2 linked regions of the Alligator mississippiensis genome follow. The protein of the gene in region 1 purifies or fractionates together with the protein of each later gene. This does not show direct contact. Links are inferred from orthologs where the notes say so. Each region holds a gene or a part of one and is shown in the gene's direction. Other genes may lie near its edges.

The links. The genes of interacting proteins can lie anywhere in the genome.
Region 2: the proteins of TBPL1 (region 1) and GTF2A1 purify together in Homo sapiens (affinity purification with mass spectrometry; 5 studies listed by BioGRID and IntAct, counting the BioPlex papers as one, with this or other methods). This does not show direct contact. The link is inferred for Alligator mississippiensis from reciprocal best matches to the Homo sapiens genes TBPL1 and GTF2A1.

The regions. Positions count from the first base shown.
Region 1 is NC_081824.1:116,440,654-116,448,129, forward strand, and holds the start of TBPL1 (TATA box-binding protein-like 1), read left to right. Parts: upstream 1-4,463; 5' UTR 4,464-4,674; intron 4,675-7,476. UniProt on the Homo sapiens protein: Part of a specialized transcription system that mediates the transcription of most ribosomal proteins through the 5'-TCT-3' motif which is a core promoter element at these genes. Seems to also mediate the transcription of NF1. Does not bind the TATA box.
Region 2 is NC_081825.1:266,198,160-266,205,557, reverse strand, and holds the start of GTF2A1 (transcription initiation factor IIA subunit 1), read left to right. Parts: upstream 1-4,389; 5' UTR 4,390-4,469; coding exon 4,470-4,568; intron 4,569-4,579; exon of another isoform or gene 4,580-4,599; coding exon of another isoform or gene 4,600-4,602; intron 4,603-7,398. UniProt on the Homo sapiens protein: TFIIA is a component of the transcription machinery of RNA polymerase II and plays an important role in transcriptional activation. TFIIA in a complex with TBP mediates transcriptional activity.

The DNA.
Region 1 (7,476 bases):
CTGCTCTGGCCTGGCTCAACATGCTGCAGAGGGGCTGGCTGAGGCATGAGGGTGCTTCAGTGTAGGGCTAGCTGGTAGGTCTACATGTGTGTTGCACTGTAGGATAGTACTTGTGTTTACAAGTACTAACCTATGGCAGAGTTAATTAGTTTGCTGTGTCCTAATAGTACCGTGCATGTAAACAGTGACATTTTACTGCAAAACCAATTAGGCAGCTCTACAGTAAACATCTGGTATAGATACACCCAGTAAGACCAAAATAGGTAAGAACATTTTTAGCACCATGGATTTCTATTTGAAATATCTAGGTTTATCTTGTGAATCATGTTGGCTCACTTGTTAACAGTGTTAATATTATATGGCACCCCAGGGAACCTCAAAAGGCACTCTAAGTGCCACAGCATTCCAGTGGAGAGTCTTTGTAGTACAGGTATATAGGTGAAAAAAGCAACCACAAAGCCTTGCAGGTAGAGCAATTAATCAGAGGTGATGTTGAGGGGAAAAAGGAAGATTTCAGCCAAAGGGCAGGAAAAAAAGCCTTACTGTGTTTGGCTAAGCATCAAAGGGAGTCTGTACACGTGCTCTGGGGTAAGGGGGGGGGGGGGCGCCGTCAGAGCCACTCTAATTAAAACACCTGCAGCGTCACGTGTATTCAGCATCCTGTGCTTCAAACTGGCAGTGGGCTGCTTTAACTAAAGCTCATTTGATGAACTTTAGTTAAAGTGCCCCCCACCGCCAGCGTGATGTAGAGACTGCTGGAGCACGCTAATTAGCATGCTCCAGTAAACTTGATTAATCGAGTCTGCACCAATGTGTACTAATTAGCATGCATCGGACCAGAGCTCTGTCACATGTACAGATGCCATATGTCTAAATAATGCTGTACTTACATGCACATGTAAACCAGTGTGCTTATATGACTAATGTGCAAGTTACATGCGCAAATATTGGTTGCACACTAATCCTTATTGTTTGCAGATACAGTTGCCTATTGGTAAATACAATGATTATAGATGCATGGGCCTGAGCCTCCTTACCACTGCACAATTAGAGGCTCTCTTGAAAATATACTAGTACAATTAAGGAGCCATTGACAAACGAGGTAGTTGGGACCTCAAAATAAGGTGGGGAATAATTTTCATTTATCATAAAAAATGGTTTTGAAACACCAAGGTCATGACTCCACCCTTACATGAAACTTATAACAAAAAATAAGACAGGGTGAGAAACCTGAAAACATAACAGCAGCTTTGTAGAAGATGAGTAATTTTTGACAGCCTTTTTTTTGTCACAGAAAAACATTGAGAAGAACATGCTAAAATTCAGAGGTCTGGACAGCAAAGTCAAAGTTTAGCTAAACCAGAGTTTATTGCCCTTTCTAATTAACATGACTGGACAGCCATGCAATTTACAGATGGGTGATTTGTCCTCCTTAGTTGAAACTCAGCAATATTTGTTGTGGTATATATAGCACCTCGAATGAATCACTGAATTTCACAGAAGGTGCAATAGAAATCAGTGTAGTAACTGAAGGCTTATTTGTAACACCTAAAGGCAACACAGAAGATGACCATCAATAAGGAAAAAGACACCAGCCTCATGAGAGATCCCAGAGAACTGTGAGAGATTCTCTAGGGTGTCACTGAACCGCAAGATAACAAATTTTGTTTTCAAACGCTTCTTTGTCTTTAGTTAAGTGAAATAAAAGTTCTATTCATGCTACTAGCCACATGGTGGCAGTACTATGCATGATCATCAATGCAAGCAAAAGCTAATAATCACTATAATAAGTAATATTTTAATTAACATTCTCCCAGTCTAGATAAAAGATTAGAAATGGGGATCTGGAAAAACTATTCCTGACACCATGAAATTGTTTTAATATAATAAAATATATTCTAGAGGTTAAGAACTAAAGTAAAAATAGAAAACACAATTTTTTCTAGAGTTTCAGCACGACAAATGTAAATCTGTTTCCTTTGTTGTAAACAATCAGTGCTGCTTCTGTATCATTTCTTAGGTGGCAAGCACAGAATTATACAACTAAAGTTTCAGGAAACCTCAAATAAATCATACTATCTTGCAAAGGTTCTAAGCTCAAAAAATTAAAGTCCAAAGCTTCACTACACATTGTTGGTCTATTTATTCTCACAGGAGGGTAAATTAAAGAGCAGGAAGTTTTCCAGAGGACATTCCAAGTCCATTGCAAAACTTAGAGTAAAAGCCTAGGAACCTTGAGCTCCAAATTTCCTAAGTACAACAGCAATGATACTCAACCAAGGTACCATGGCATCCTAGGGTGCCTTTCAGGGCTGCTGCAGTATGCAACATCATGCTAGCACTTTAAGGTGCACAAACATGTTTCATAAATTAAACCCAGAAATTTCAGTTAAGAATCCACAGTGTTAAAAAATTCTGACCTCTTGCAGTCTTTCTGAGTTCTTTGCAATAGAAACATTGCTGTATTACTTTTCCGTCATCAAAAAATAAGTGAAAACTAAGAGCTGGTACTTTCTGAGAGGTTCTGTGAGTCTAATGAAGGGTGTCCTGGGCCTAAAAATGTTAATAACCACTTACTACAGTATTCAGAATATCCCCACCTTATTCCTGTGAATCTGCTGTTCCTGCTATAATTTGAGTCTAAATTACATTTTAGAGTGGCACATCAGCAAGTGAATATTAATCTCTTGAGGCTTTTGAGATGGAAGCCCAAGGCCCTCACTCTTGTCACCAGTGCCTTCACAACACTGCTGTCACACTAGAGCAGCCTAAGTCTGGCTGCAGGTGACACTAAGCATGAACAACATGTGCCCCTGGAGGCTGGGGTGGCATGGCGACCACCTGTAGGCGGCAGTGGTGGTGTCGACTGTGGGGGTGGGCCGAGCGGAGGCTGCCAGCAGGCAGCCGCAGCAATGTCAGTGGCGAGCACAGGGGTGGGGGGCAAGCAGCAGGCAGTGAGCAGGGACCACCCATAGCTGCCGTCCATACTGTTGGCTGCATCAGTAGCAAGGGGTGGCGGCGACCACCTGCAGAAGCCAGCAGTGGCTTTAGCAGCGGCCACTCTCGGGGGGGGGCACGTGCCTCCCTGTGCCCCCCCCAACACACACATCGCCTATGACACTAAGCAAGGTTCTATGGTGGTATCTTTTATTAGACCAACTGCACAGTTGCCCTGTGCCCAAAAGCTTGAGTGACTTCTCTCTCAGCTGGGCCAATAAAAGATACCATATTCTATCACATACAACATGCTCCCAAATGAGAGACACCTTGTTTTTTGAAAGGCAGAATGAAGGGGAAAGAAGATCTCTTCTTAAAAGTACTGATAAGCCATGTAACTGAGCAGCAGCTTCTGCAGCAGGAGTCTTCACCGAGAATGGGGAAGAGATCATGCCCACAGCCAGCAGTACTGTGTTAACCATCCTGCCCCTGCTCCCTCCCCAGCACAAACATGGTGGCATTCATTCCTCTCTGCCTTCCCCAAGGCAGAACTGCTGTTACTGTATTTCCTTATTTATGACACCCACACAATTTCCAAGAGCTGGGTTTTGGGAGAGGGTGTTGTATGCAAAACAATACAGGTATCACAAATGCATCCTTGCCTCTCTCACCTTTGGATAAGGGGGAGAGAGGGTGCATTTTCTAAGGGCCCAGATCCATATTCAAATGAAAGTTGGATAGAAACTGGCTAGAGTTGTTACACATCTTGTGGCTTCTCCATCCTAGGAGACACCAACAGGAGTGCAGCAAGGGTTGCCCTGGCACAAGTGGGCAGGACTTAACCCTGTGTAGAACCATAGGGTAGCCATGGATCCCACTGCCTCAGGTTCCCATTGCCCCCTTTCACCCCCTGCAGGCTCCCAGGCCCCCCCAGGGCAGGGACATTTAGGGCCCAGCCCACAGCAATCGCCACCCCATGACCTAGCCCTGCATTACCCCCCAAACACTTGTTCCCTGCCCGCCCCAGCCCCATGGGGACTGTTGGTGAGCTTTCTGAGGTGGGAAGGTAGAAGGATGCCGACACCGCCTGCAACAGCTTATCAAAACTGCCCTGCGGCCCAAATCATCGCCCGCCGCTGCTCTAGGTGATTTTCATGCAGGCGCCTTCTGACGGCCTGGCGATTTTTTGTAGCTGGACAGCCATTCTTATGGTGCCACGACCACTCTGCAGGGGCTCGTCCCCATTTATTGTGCTTTTAACCACTCCGTGACATGACACATATGCCCAAAGTGTACCAGAGGCCTTAAGGAGTGAGTGGGCGCCGAGCCCGCACCAGGCAACACACGCACGGAAAGACTGGGCTGCAACACGCCCACCGCCCGGGAGCCCCGCGGAGGGCGGGGCTTAGAGCCGGTGGCCGCAAGCTCCGCCCCACCCCCCAGCAGCGTCTCGCGTCACGCTTGCGAGCTGCCGGCTCGGAGCCTAGGGCGCCGGAAGTGCGTGACAACCCCCCTCCTCGCGGGGCTGGAAGAACGGTGGCTCTTCCGGCGGGCGGTCTAGCCGGCGCCGCGCCTCTATGATCGCCGCTCTCCCTCTTCTTCCAGCCTTGTGCCATGTTGATTGTGGCCGCGACGCGGCCCAGGACCCGGAACAACAAAGGGCGCGAGGGGCGGGGCGGCGCGTAGCAACCGGCCCGCGCGCCGCCGACACCCACCCGCCCGCCGCCTGCCCACACGGTAACGGCCGCGGCCTCCCTCCCCTGTGGGCCCGCGGGTGGGCCCGGGCCCGGGCCCGGTGCTGGCACTGCGGGGGGTGGGGATGGCGGGCCTGCCCGCTCCCTCCGCCCCTCCCCCTCCTCGGGCGCCGCCGCGGCCCGTTGGGGGCGGTTATGGCCTCGCGCGCCCGGGGGGACGGGGGCAGTGTTCGGAGCACCTGCCCCCTCCCCGCGGCGAAACGGCTGTTGCCTGGCAACTGGTGCGGGGGGGCGGGGTGCGCAGGGGCGTTCGGCGCCAGGGGGCAGCCTGGGTGGTGCAGGGATAGTTCTTAGTTTGGGAAGGGGGGAGGGCACCTTTGCAGGGCCGTGCAGGGTCTTGGCAGCTGGAGGGGGGCATGGTGCACAAGTGCTCTGAGGTGCCTTCCAGGCCTGTTTGTTAGTCTTCAGGGAACGTGGGCCCCCCAAGAAAAAAAACTATAAGCCTGTCTTCAAGAGGGAGGCCACCGAGAGAGGAATAATAAAACGGAAGGTCTGTGGGCTCCAGGCGGGGCAGTGGGGCGCCTGTGGGAAGGGTCCCCCATTGTGAGAGGAGAGTGTCCTGTGGGAGTCTTCTGTGGGACCAGCAGAACCGCGGGATGGGATTTTTCGCCCTCGTTGGCAGGTGGCAGCCTCCTCCCACCCCCCTTCCCCGGGGGCCTGGAGATCCTTCCAGAGGTGCCACATATTGCTGGCACCCGTTAGCTGCACAGACGTGGTTCCCAAGGTACATCTAATGATTTCAAATCAGAAGCTGTAGCGCAAAAAGCTAAAATCCAGCCCTGCTGTGGCCTGAGATTTCTGCAACAGAAGGACAGCTGTGTTATTTTCCCATAATCGAGCAAAAAACCAAGTGAAGACTAAACTGGCGTTTTCTGAGGTGCGCCTTGAGCCAACTTAGTTAATGGGAGTTTGGCTGGTTTTGTCATTGTGTTGCACTGTCCATATGGGGAAGTGATTAAAACAGCAGCAGTTACTTGGCACAGTGGAAATAACACCAAAACTAAATGGTGTCTTGGGATTAATGCTTGCTTAATTTTGTAAAGAAGTACTACTGCTCTAGTTGGGCGCTTAATTTGCATAAGTGCTGAGGTTTTCCTTGGAATATAATTGGTCTTCACTCAGCAGAAAATATTCACTGCCTGGAGGCAGAGTAAACCTTGCTAGACCTGGACATTTGCTTCATAATAACCTTTCCTTTCATAGCAGACTAACTGCCACAGAAAAGGTGTGAAGTGCCATTCCTGTGGCAGGAAGTTAGGAAATGGCTTTGGACAGAGAACTTCCAAACCCGCCAGTAGCTCTGACGCTCCCAAGTTTTGAGGGATGTCTCCTTGCCAGCAAGATCACATAACTTCAGGACTTGTCTAATGTCTTTAAATCCCATTTCTTGGGACACTAAAAATAAACTTTAGAAATCTATCTGAAAGGAGAGAATGGGACCCCCTTTTATTGCTGTTTGGTGCTTTATGAGAGAGAGAGACTTTTGATTTTTTTTTTTTTTTTAAAGCTCTGTTATAAGTATTAAAAACAGAAGGTGAAAGTGCAAAAGTGTGTGTTGACCCTCCCAGGGTCCAAGCATGAAACACTTGTCAGTAATGAAAACATTCATATTGCCAGAGATTAAGATACCCTTTTCCCAATAGCCTTCATGGGGTTACACATGTATGACTAGCCATCCGTCTTCCTGAGTGCCCCCTCAATAGCCCAGTGAGACATAAACTAGTCCACATTTTGTTGCAAGGTGATGTGTCCAGATTCAAATGTGATGCGCTCCTGAACCAAGGAGTGGAACAGTTGGAGGGTGCTGTCAGAGCTGGCTTCTGTGGCTATTCAGGCTCTCCATCTTGGCCTGGCCCAGCAGGAAATTGGCCAGGCAGAGCATGATCCCTTCAGCTGCTTGGTACAGAATAGAGGAAATGTAGAGTCTGGGAGAAGGCCAAATCCAGTGCACCAAAGAGGGCAGCAAAGAGTGGCCACAGCCATGTGCAGGCCAGGAAAGCATGGAGCAGTCTCCTCCGTTTCCTCTTTGCAGAAGGGACAGGCTGAAGATACTGCTGCATCTGGGTGGTGGACAAAGGTGTCCATGGCCTGCCCCCAGGGCAGGTGCTGTCACTGGAGCTTGCCAGTTCTCTTGGTGATTGTGGAGAGGGGGAATGTACAATGTTGTCTTGAAGTAGTTAATCTTAATTTTTTGATGATATGACTGTCAGTCATCCAGAGAAGAACCTGTACACTCTGTGCTAATTACCACTCATTTGGGTCACTGTACATTGCTTTCTTCTTGAGGGACAAGTGTTTCAAGATCTTTGTCTTTCACTTTATTTCTGTAGCAGCTTTACAAATGGGGCTAAGTCCTATGCAGGGTCTGTGAGTGCTACTTGATATGAATCATGTTTTCACCTGCTGCCAAAGAAGTACTTTCTTTTTTTGAAGTGGGGGATGGGAGGTCTGTCTTGGCTTCATTTTAGGAAACTTGCTACTTTTTAGTCAGCTGTCACTGAGATGAGCTTTGCCTTTCTAGTGCGCTTAGCATGTCTCCTTCATATTTTTCTTTTGGGATAGTGTCAGGAATGTTAGGCCTTGGAGGGAAGAAAGGCATCCTCATGCTCACTATTTTTAAAAAATTACAAACTTTTGGTTGTATATGTACTTGCATGAGATTTTGAAAACTGACTTGGTTCTTTCTTTGGAGCAAGCAAAATGAATAAAGAACAAAACAAATGTACAATGTAAATGGAGAAAAGTAATTGATTTTTAGTATTTCTTTGTTTCAACTTTTATTTCT
Region 2 (7,398 bases), on another chromosome or scaffold:
CTGTACTTGGGATTAGTATGAACTGTGGGGATTTTTGCCTTCCTCCAAAGTAGGGGGCATAGCCCTCTACCTGGGACATCCTGAGTGTATATACAACATTTCATAGAAGCAGGACAGTGGCTGCAATGCTTCAACTGCTTTATGTGTGGCAGGTTAGAGTGCTAGGTCTATGTTGTGTCAGGGCTGACAGCAGCTTTATATAGAGTTTAGATGATGGCTTGTATGGGATGTGATAGAAAACCATGATCCTGCCTCAGGCAGGGCAGTTGAAGTAGATGACCTCTGGAGGTCCCTTCCAGCCCTACTTCTCCATGACTATGACTTGCATGACTATACTTCCCCATGTTGAAACCAGAACACCTGGGTGAGATTTTACTAGTGTTCAGGGGAGTTCAATTACATATGCAAAAACATATAAGAAAAATACACAATATAGTGACATGCTCTTAATATGACTTTAAAGAGACTGAATGGATTTGACTTCATAAGTTAGCCAATACAGTAGCTTCCCCCTTACAAACAGCATAAACAGTGAAAGTATGCACTTACAATAAAGTGGTTACTGATGTTTTCCTTGTCTTGCTGTCCTTCAGGGTGTGAAGTTGCTTGTTGCCACCTTTATTTCTCTGATGATGCTATCTTTTAGAGGGCCTGCTTGTCTTTCAGCAGCTTGTCACAGAACACAGTACAATCCAGATCAAAATTAATTCACATAGCCTTCATGGTAGAGACATGCAGATGTGATTTTTCAGGAGACCACACATTGTTCATTCTAGAAAACACACATTGAACGGGGGGCGGTTGTGCCCAGGAAACGCAACACGAATTCCACAGCCTTAGCTAGATCTGCATATTGTACTATCTTGCTGTCCATCTCTTGAAAAATGCACAGCCACCTTTCAGCAATGGGAATTCACTGATGGTTGCAGTCAGAAAGATGATGAGATGATTGATTTTGCACTGGCTCACTTAAAAGGGCAATTCTCATCCAACATACTTAAGGTAGGAATTCTAGTGTGGCATGTAGCGAAGCTGTCTTATATTTCATCCCACACTGGCATATTGCTTGACAGGGCCCACTCAAGCTTTTTGGCACGCTCAAAAGCAGGTTTCCAGTACTCCAAGTAAGACAGGCATTGTAAAATTCTGCATTGTAAAATTCTTCTTCCTTCATTTGCTGACAATCTACAAGAGACTGCAGTAGGCTCTTTGCTTTTGTTGGGACAAATTGTTGTCTAAGTCTCTCTGCTAAGTTATCCCACAGGGAATGTATCTGCAAAGCAACTTCTGTCACTGACACATCATTTTTCTTAATTGCCTCTATGTTCTTCTGAAACATGGCTGTTTGTTTACTGGCAAAGGCAAGCTACAATTTAGTGCTAGGGTCATTGAAGACTTCTTTTAACAGTGTCAGCCATTTCTCTTGAGAAAGGAAACATGCTTTAAGCCCATAGAAAATCAACAAAATTCTATCCAGCACTGGTCCCAGTGACAAGATTTGTGTGCTGCTGTGCTGTAGTCATTTAAAATACTCAAGACTGACAAATTGGCAGAAGTCTTTCAGCTCTTCAACTCTTAGTTTGGCTTGGAGTTTTTGCCACAAATTGTTTTTTCCAGGATGTCTGGCACCACCAAAGTTAGTGTTGGTATTGTCTGCACAAATTCCAACGAGCTTTGCACCAAGAGAGTACTTCTCAATCACTTGCTAGAGAAATGCCCGCTGCACATCAGATGTTTCACCCAGTAGAAAACTCAATTATTATTTTTGTGTTGACTCCCCTAATTGGAAGAAAAAAGCATACGAGAACAGGAAACAGCTTTTGCTCCTTTTTGTTCGATGCATCCACATTAAGCATAATAAATGAGCACTTCTCCAAATCACGATGCACTTCTTCTGTTGATAAAAGAGCTAATACATTGCAAATTATTGCCTTGGATTTTGTGTGAGCAGATGAAAACTTAGGTTGGTAGAGTTTCTTAATGTGATGTAGTCACTTGACCCAAAAAGGTGTCCATGACACAGAGTGGTAAGCAAACAGTCCCTCACTGGCAAAAATGTGACTAACAAAAAGCCAATCACATTTTTTGTTTTGCTTAACAAAAATAAAAAAAAAAAAATCTGAAATGCTTGGAGTTGCATACTTAGTACTTTTGGCCTGTTTTTTTGTTTGAAGGTGCTGAGTAATGTCACAGCAGCTGCCACAAGTCTTGCAATTAAAGAATTTTTTTTGAAAAAATCTTGTTGGTCTAATAAAATGTATCACCTCTACCATGAACCCAGATTGCTTTCTCCACAAGTCTGTCATACAACTTGGCTGATTTTGTAGGTCCTCCTTACAGGAACAGACATGTTTGTGACATTTTATAGCAAACACTACTGATAACTTCTGTAACCTCATGTGTTGCAGCTGACCATGCATTGTATGTGCACCTCATGTGGGTAGATCCCAGAGCTGCCGCCGTGCGCTGCCATCACCTATTGTAAATCAAACCAAGTGGTAAAATGTTGGGATGTTATTGTGAAATGGAGGGAAGGAAAAAAATGCAATTACATCTCTTTTATATGTAATGCCATGTGAAAAATGCTTTACTGAATATGCAATACTTCAGCTGGCAAAAGAAAACGGGACAAATAGCCAATTAAAAAAAAGTGGGGACACCTGGGATAGGGCTCAAATAGGGGACTGTCCTAGCAAAAAGGGGATGTACGATTACCTCGACCAGGGCTCTTCCTGCCAGCTTCAAGTTGTGGTCGCTTGTTCTTGTCTTGTGAGAGCCAATAATGACTCCCCACTGATTTTCTCTTTGCCATGTAGTTTTGTGAACCCAAGTCCCCCACTAACTGCTGGGATCTTCCCTCTGCCTGGGCCCTGCTGGCCTCCAGGGGGGAGCCTCTTCCCCTGCTTCCCTGCTGCAGCCCTGGGGCCTAAGGGCAGGCACCCCAGGACTGCATGCATGTAACAGTGCAGCTCCTCCGCAGCTGGGGTTGCCAACCCTCCCGGATTGGGCAGGACCCTGCGGGAATCAGCCGGGTGACTACTGAAAGCAATCCAGTCAAAGGGCCACGGGGTGAGCCCCTACTAGGCTCAATACGGCCGGGCGCTACATTGCCCGGCGCCGTCGTGGAACGCTAAGTCGCCGCCGCGTTGACGCGATCAGACGCGTCACCAGTCGCGCGCGCCAGCCCAGCCGCGCTCAGCCCCCAGCGGACATATCCACCGAGGCGCCCCGCACCGCGCACTTCCGCCTCTCTAGGTGTCATGGCGGCCGCGCCGCCCGTTTCCCTCCCTCGCACGTGACCGCGCGGGGGCCGTGCTCCGGCGCCAGCTCTCGCGAGAGCTGCCCCCCTCCCGCGCCCCCGCGCTCCCCGGCCGCTCGCGCAGCTGCTCGGCTCTCGCTATATAAAGGGGCAAAGCGGGCAGAGCGGCGGCTGGCGGCGGCGGCTGCAGCCCGGGGCCGGGAGTAGAGGCCGGGCCAGGCTAGGCCGCGGCGCCGCCCGGGAGCCAGGGCTGTGCTGGGCATTAAGGGGGCGGCACCGGCGCCGGGCACGTCTCTCGCTTCACGGGGGCGACCGCGGCCGCGGTGGGGGCGCCCGGGGGGCGCGGGACATGGCGAGCGCGGCCAACACAAACCCCGTGGTAAGCACCGGGGGGGCCGGGCCGGGGCGGGTGGCGGGCTCGGGGCCTTCTTCTCGTCCTCCTCCTTCTCCCTCTCCCGCCCGCCGCCCCACGAGCCCGCCCGGCCCGGCCCCGGCCCCAGTCGGCTTCCCGTGGGCGGCGGCTGCTTGGGAGCGCCCGTCGGTTTGCAACAAGCAGTCACACACCCCCGGCCCCGCGCCCCCTGCCCCAACGCACCGCTCCGGCCCGGCCCCGGCCGCGGCCCCTTGTTTGCGCCCGTCTCGGCCGATCCATCATGGCTCCCGCCGGCCTGGCTGCTCCCCCGCCTTGTGTTCCTCCTCCCTGCGGCGGCCCGGGTTATATAGAGCTATTGCCGCTCTCTAATATAGACTCTGCCAGGATGGGAAGGTGCTTTCCAGCCCCACGTCACCGCCTCTCCATTTAAACACCGCGGCAGCCTTTAAATAGGGAGAGAGAGAGCGCCGCCGAGAGCGGCGGGCGGGCGGGGAGCTGCGCGCAGCCCACAGCGGCCGGGGGAGGCGCCGGCTCCGGCTCCGGCTCTTTGTCACTCGCCGCTGCCCGAGCGGCCCCGCTCCGCTCCGCTCTCGGCGGCGGGGTTTTCTCTCCCGCCGCGTGGCCAGGCCGCTACGGGCTTCCCCCTGGAGCGGGAGCGAGGCCGAGGCAGAGGCAGCGCGGTCGGAGGGTCTTTGTTGCAGGGGGGATGGAGCTGCTGGGGCAGGCGGCAGGGGAAGGCTCCTGCGGGGGGAGGTGGTGGCGCGGCTGCAGGTATTTGACTGCTGCCTGGGAAAAGGCGAAGCGCTTGAGACTCTTTTCCCAGCTCTTCTGCCTTCCATGATAGCAGCGGTTCGTGCCCTGCTCGCAGCAGCAGCGCTAGAGGCGGGGAAAGGAGGGAGACCTGGATTGTTTGGCGTTCTAAATCCCACGGAGCGGGTTAGCTTTTTAGGGCATTGGTGTTTCTAGAATGGTAAAGCTGTTATTTGGTGTTATATCTATTTCTTTCTCTCTGCCTCCTCTGCATGCCCCCCCCCCCCCCCCCACACACGCACACTGATCTGAGAAGGTGATCAGTCCAGTAAATGCATTCAGTCAGGGTGTAAAATATCAGCTAAATCTTAAGAGCACCAAGTAGGATCCCATGAATAAATATAAGGAAAACAAAAATGAAGGTAGTATGCCTGTATTTTCTCTTCTGTTGTAGAGCAGGTTTGTAAAGATCTAAGAGAAAAGGCCTTCACTCTGAAGGATTTGCAAATAACTTTGTTGCAAAGCCCCAGTAACACTTGATTTCTCTGCTGTGCAAAGCTGGGCAGCTGTCTCCATCGCTTGGTACAGGTCTATCCTAAGAAAAGTCCTGTTAGAAAATAAAGCTCCGTAATGTGTGATTCAGGTCACCCTGCCGGTTGGTGGGAGGTGAATGGCTCGGTTTCGTTTTTCAGCTGAGAGGTGGTTTGTTGGTGATGGTTATTCAGTCGGTAATGTTATCTTTTAGAGTGCAGATCTATAGCCAATAATAGAGCTGCACCTTTTAACATCATAATGATATTTTGAACAAAACCAAGTTAAAGAACATAGCCAGTTCATAAGCTGGACTTCTGTTCTAAATTACTTCAAAAAGCCTCTTAATGCTTTGGTGTCGTTAAATCATCATCAGTCAGTTTTCTTGCTCGTTATGAGCCAAATGATGTATTTTCATTTTTGGCTTGCATAAATAAGCAAGGACTCTGTAGCAAGTTGTTATAGCCAGTTTGTTTTAAAGGAGGTAGGATAGCTTGAAAACTAGTTGGCTTGCAGTCAGATGCACAAAATCAATACAACTATGTCTTTCAGTTACAGGAATCTGAGGGGTTGTTTGTAAGAGTAGCTGCATACAGATTTTTTTTGGGGGGTATCCTTTTAAAAAAAAAGGAATTTAAGAAATGTAATCTCAAAATGGCTTGCAGTACTTAAAATGACTTGGTGTGCATTCTTTGGATTCTGAAATATTTGAGCTCATGTAGCACACCATATTCAAATGAACTGCTGTAAGTGCAGAGGGAGGGAGAGATGGTCAGTTTTTTCTATGCTCAGCAGAGGGAGCACCAGTTAACAAACGTTTTGTATAAATATATGGTTATATAACCATGCACAAATAAGGAAATAAGAAAATTGTAAGTCTCATTAGATCAAGACAGACAAGCTATAGTCAGTGCTTGGAACAGAGCTTGCCAAACACCTGCAGATCTAATTTGACTGTGATACATTCACTTATGAACAGCTTAGGTTCGCTATTGATGTACCTTTTACAAGGCAAGTACTTTATTCATTCAGAATGGGTGAAACCATGATAATTTTAACTGGCGTCTTGTAAATTTCTGTAGAGAGTTTTTCTTTATTGCCTTGATTTCCCTGAAGCTTTGTCAGATGGTGTGTGACTTCACAATCTAGAAGTTAATGTGTAATTATTCCTGTAGCAGTAGTAATAATGGAACTGCCCTGGTGTGGCTGGTTGCTTTGGCAAACTGCTATGCAAAAACAGTCTTGGAAAAAAGGTGTTAAATTCAGAGGGAAAAAACGGTTTGCACTCATTTGGTCCTTAAAACCAGTTTTATACATACTAGTCAGCTTGTGCAGTTCAGTGCATCTCTTGAGAATGCTTGTGCCATTAATAGCTAGAATTAGGCCTAATGTACGTGCAGAGAAGAGGATGAGAGAGAGGAACAGATGGTCTTTACTTACAGTATTTGAAATGGAGAGGGAAAGAACTGTGGGGAGGGAACAGATTTCAGAAGTTACATTTCTATTACTTTTTGACTAGAACTCTTTCTACTGAATTTTCATGATCAAATAGGAAAACCTGGTTCAGGTCTGTTCAATAATACTTCTCTCAAAATTGGCTTCAAAGCGAGCAAGGAGTATATGGAAGGAATGTTTGTCACTTAAATCTGGGGGCTTGGTATACCTAAACTGAAGTTTGAATAACCTGTTGGTATTATACTTGCTAATTTTTACATGGAGTGAGGGACACAAATTAAGTTTGCCTGCTTTGCTTCTTTGTAAAGATTATACATTGAAGCTATCCTTTATACCCTGTTCTTTGGATTTGCATAGGCTAAATGGTATTGGAAAACAGCATCTTGTGATGTGTTTTAACTTCTCCCACAACTGTTCAACAAGTCATTGCTGTCCTTGGAGAGGACAGTTAAAGGGGATAGTGACTTTCCCCTTATGTACAACATAAACAGCCCATACCATTCTTTCTGAATAACCTGCATATTTAAGAACACATGTACTGGGCAGCTTGTGATTAATACAGAAGGGAAAAGTAATAGCTGACTCTTCATAAAGAAAAAAAACTTCTCATCATAAACAGATCAAACATGATAGAGCAGTGGTGTTAAAATGCAACTTTTGTAATCATGTAATTAATTCACCTAATACTTTAATTTCTGAAGAACTTGCATTCTTTGATAAGACTAGCTACTCATTTTAAATCAGATAATTTGGACCCCAGGCCTGCAAATGATTATGCACACATTTAATTTGAGGCATGTGAGTAGTACCTTTAGTGACCAGACCCAAACAGGGTAGTATTTTTGGTTAGCTTTAAATTACTACAGCCTCAGTTATGAAATAAAAATATCAATGGCTCCTTTGCTCCGGAACTAGTTCATATGTATATACTATGTAGCTTGTTAGCTTTCAGCTTGCAATTCAGTATATTCACTTTACAAAGGAACCTTTGTTCTTGTTTTATTAGAACAGTGGCTCTCAACCAGGGTGC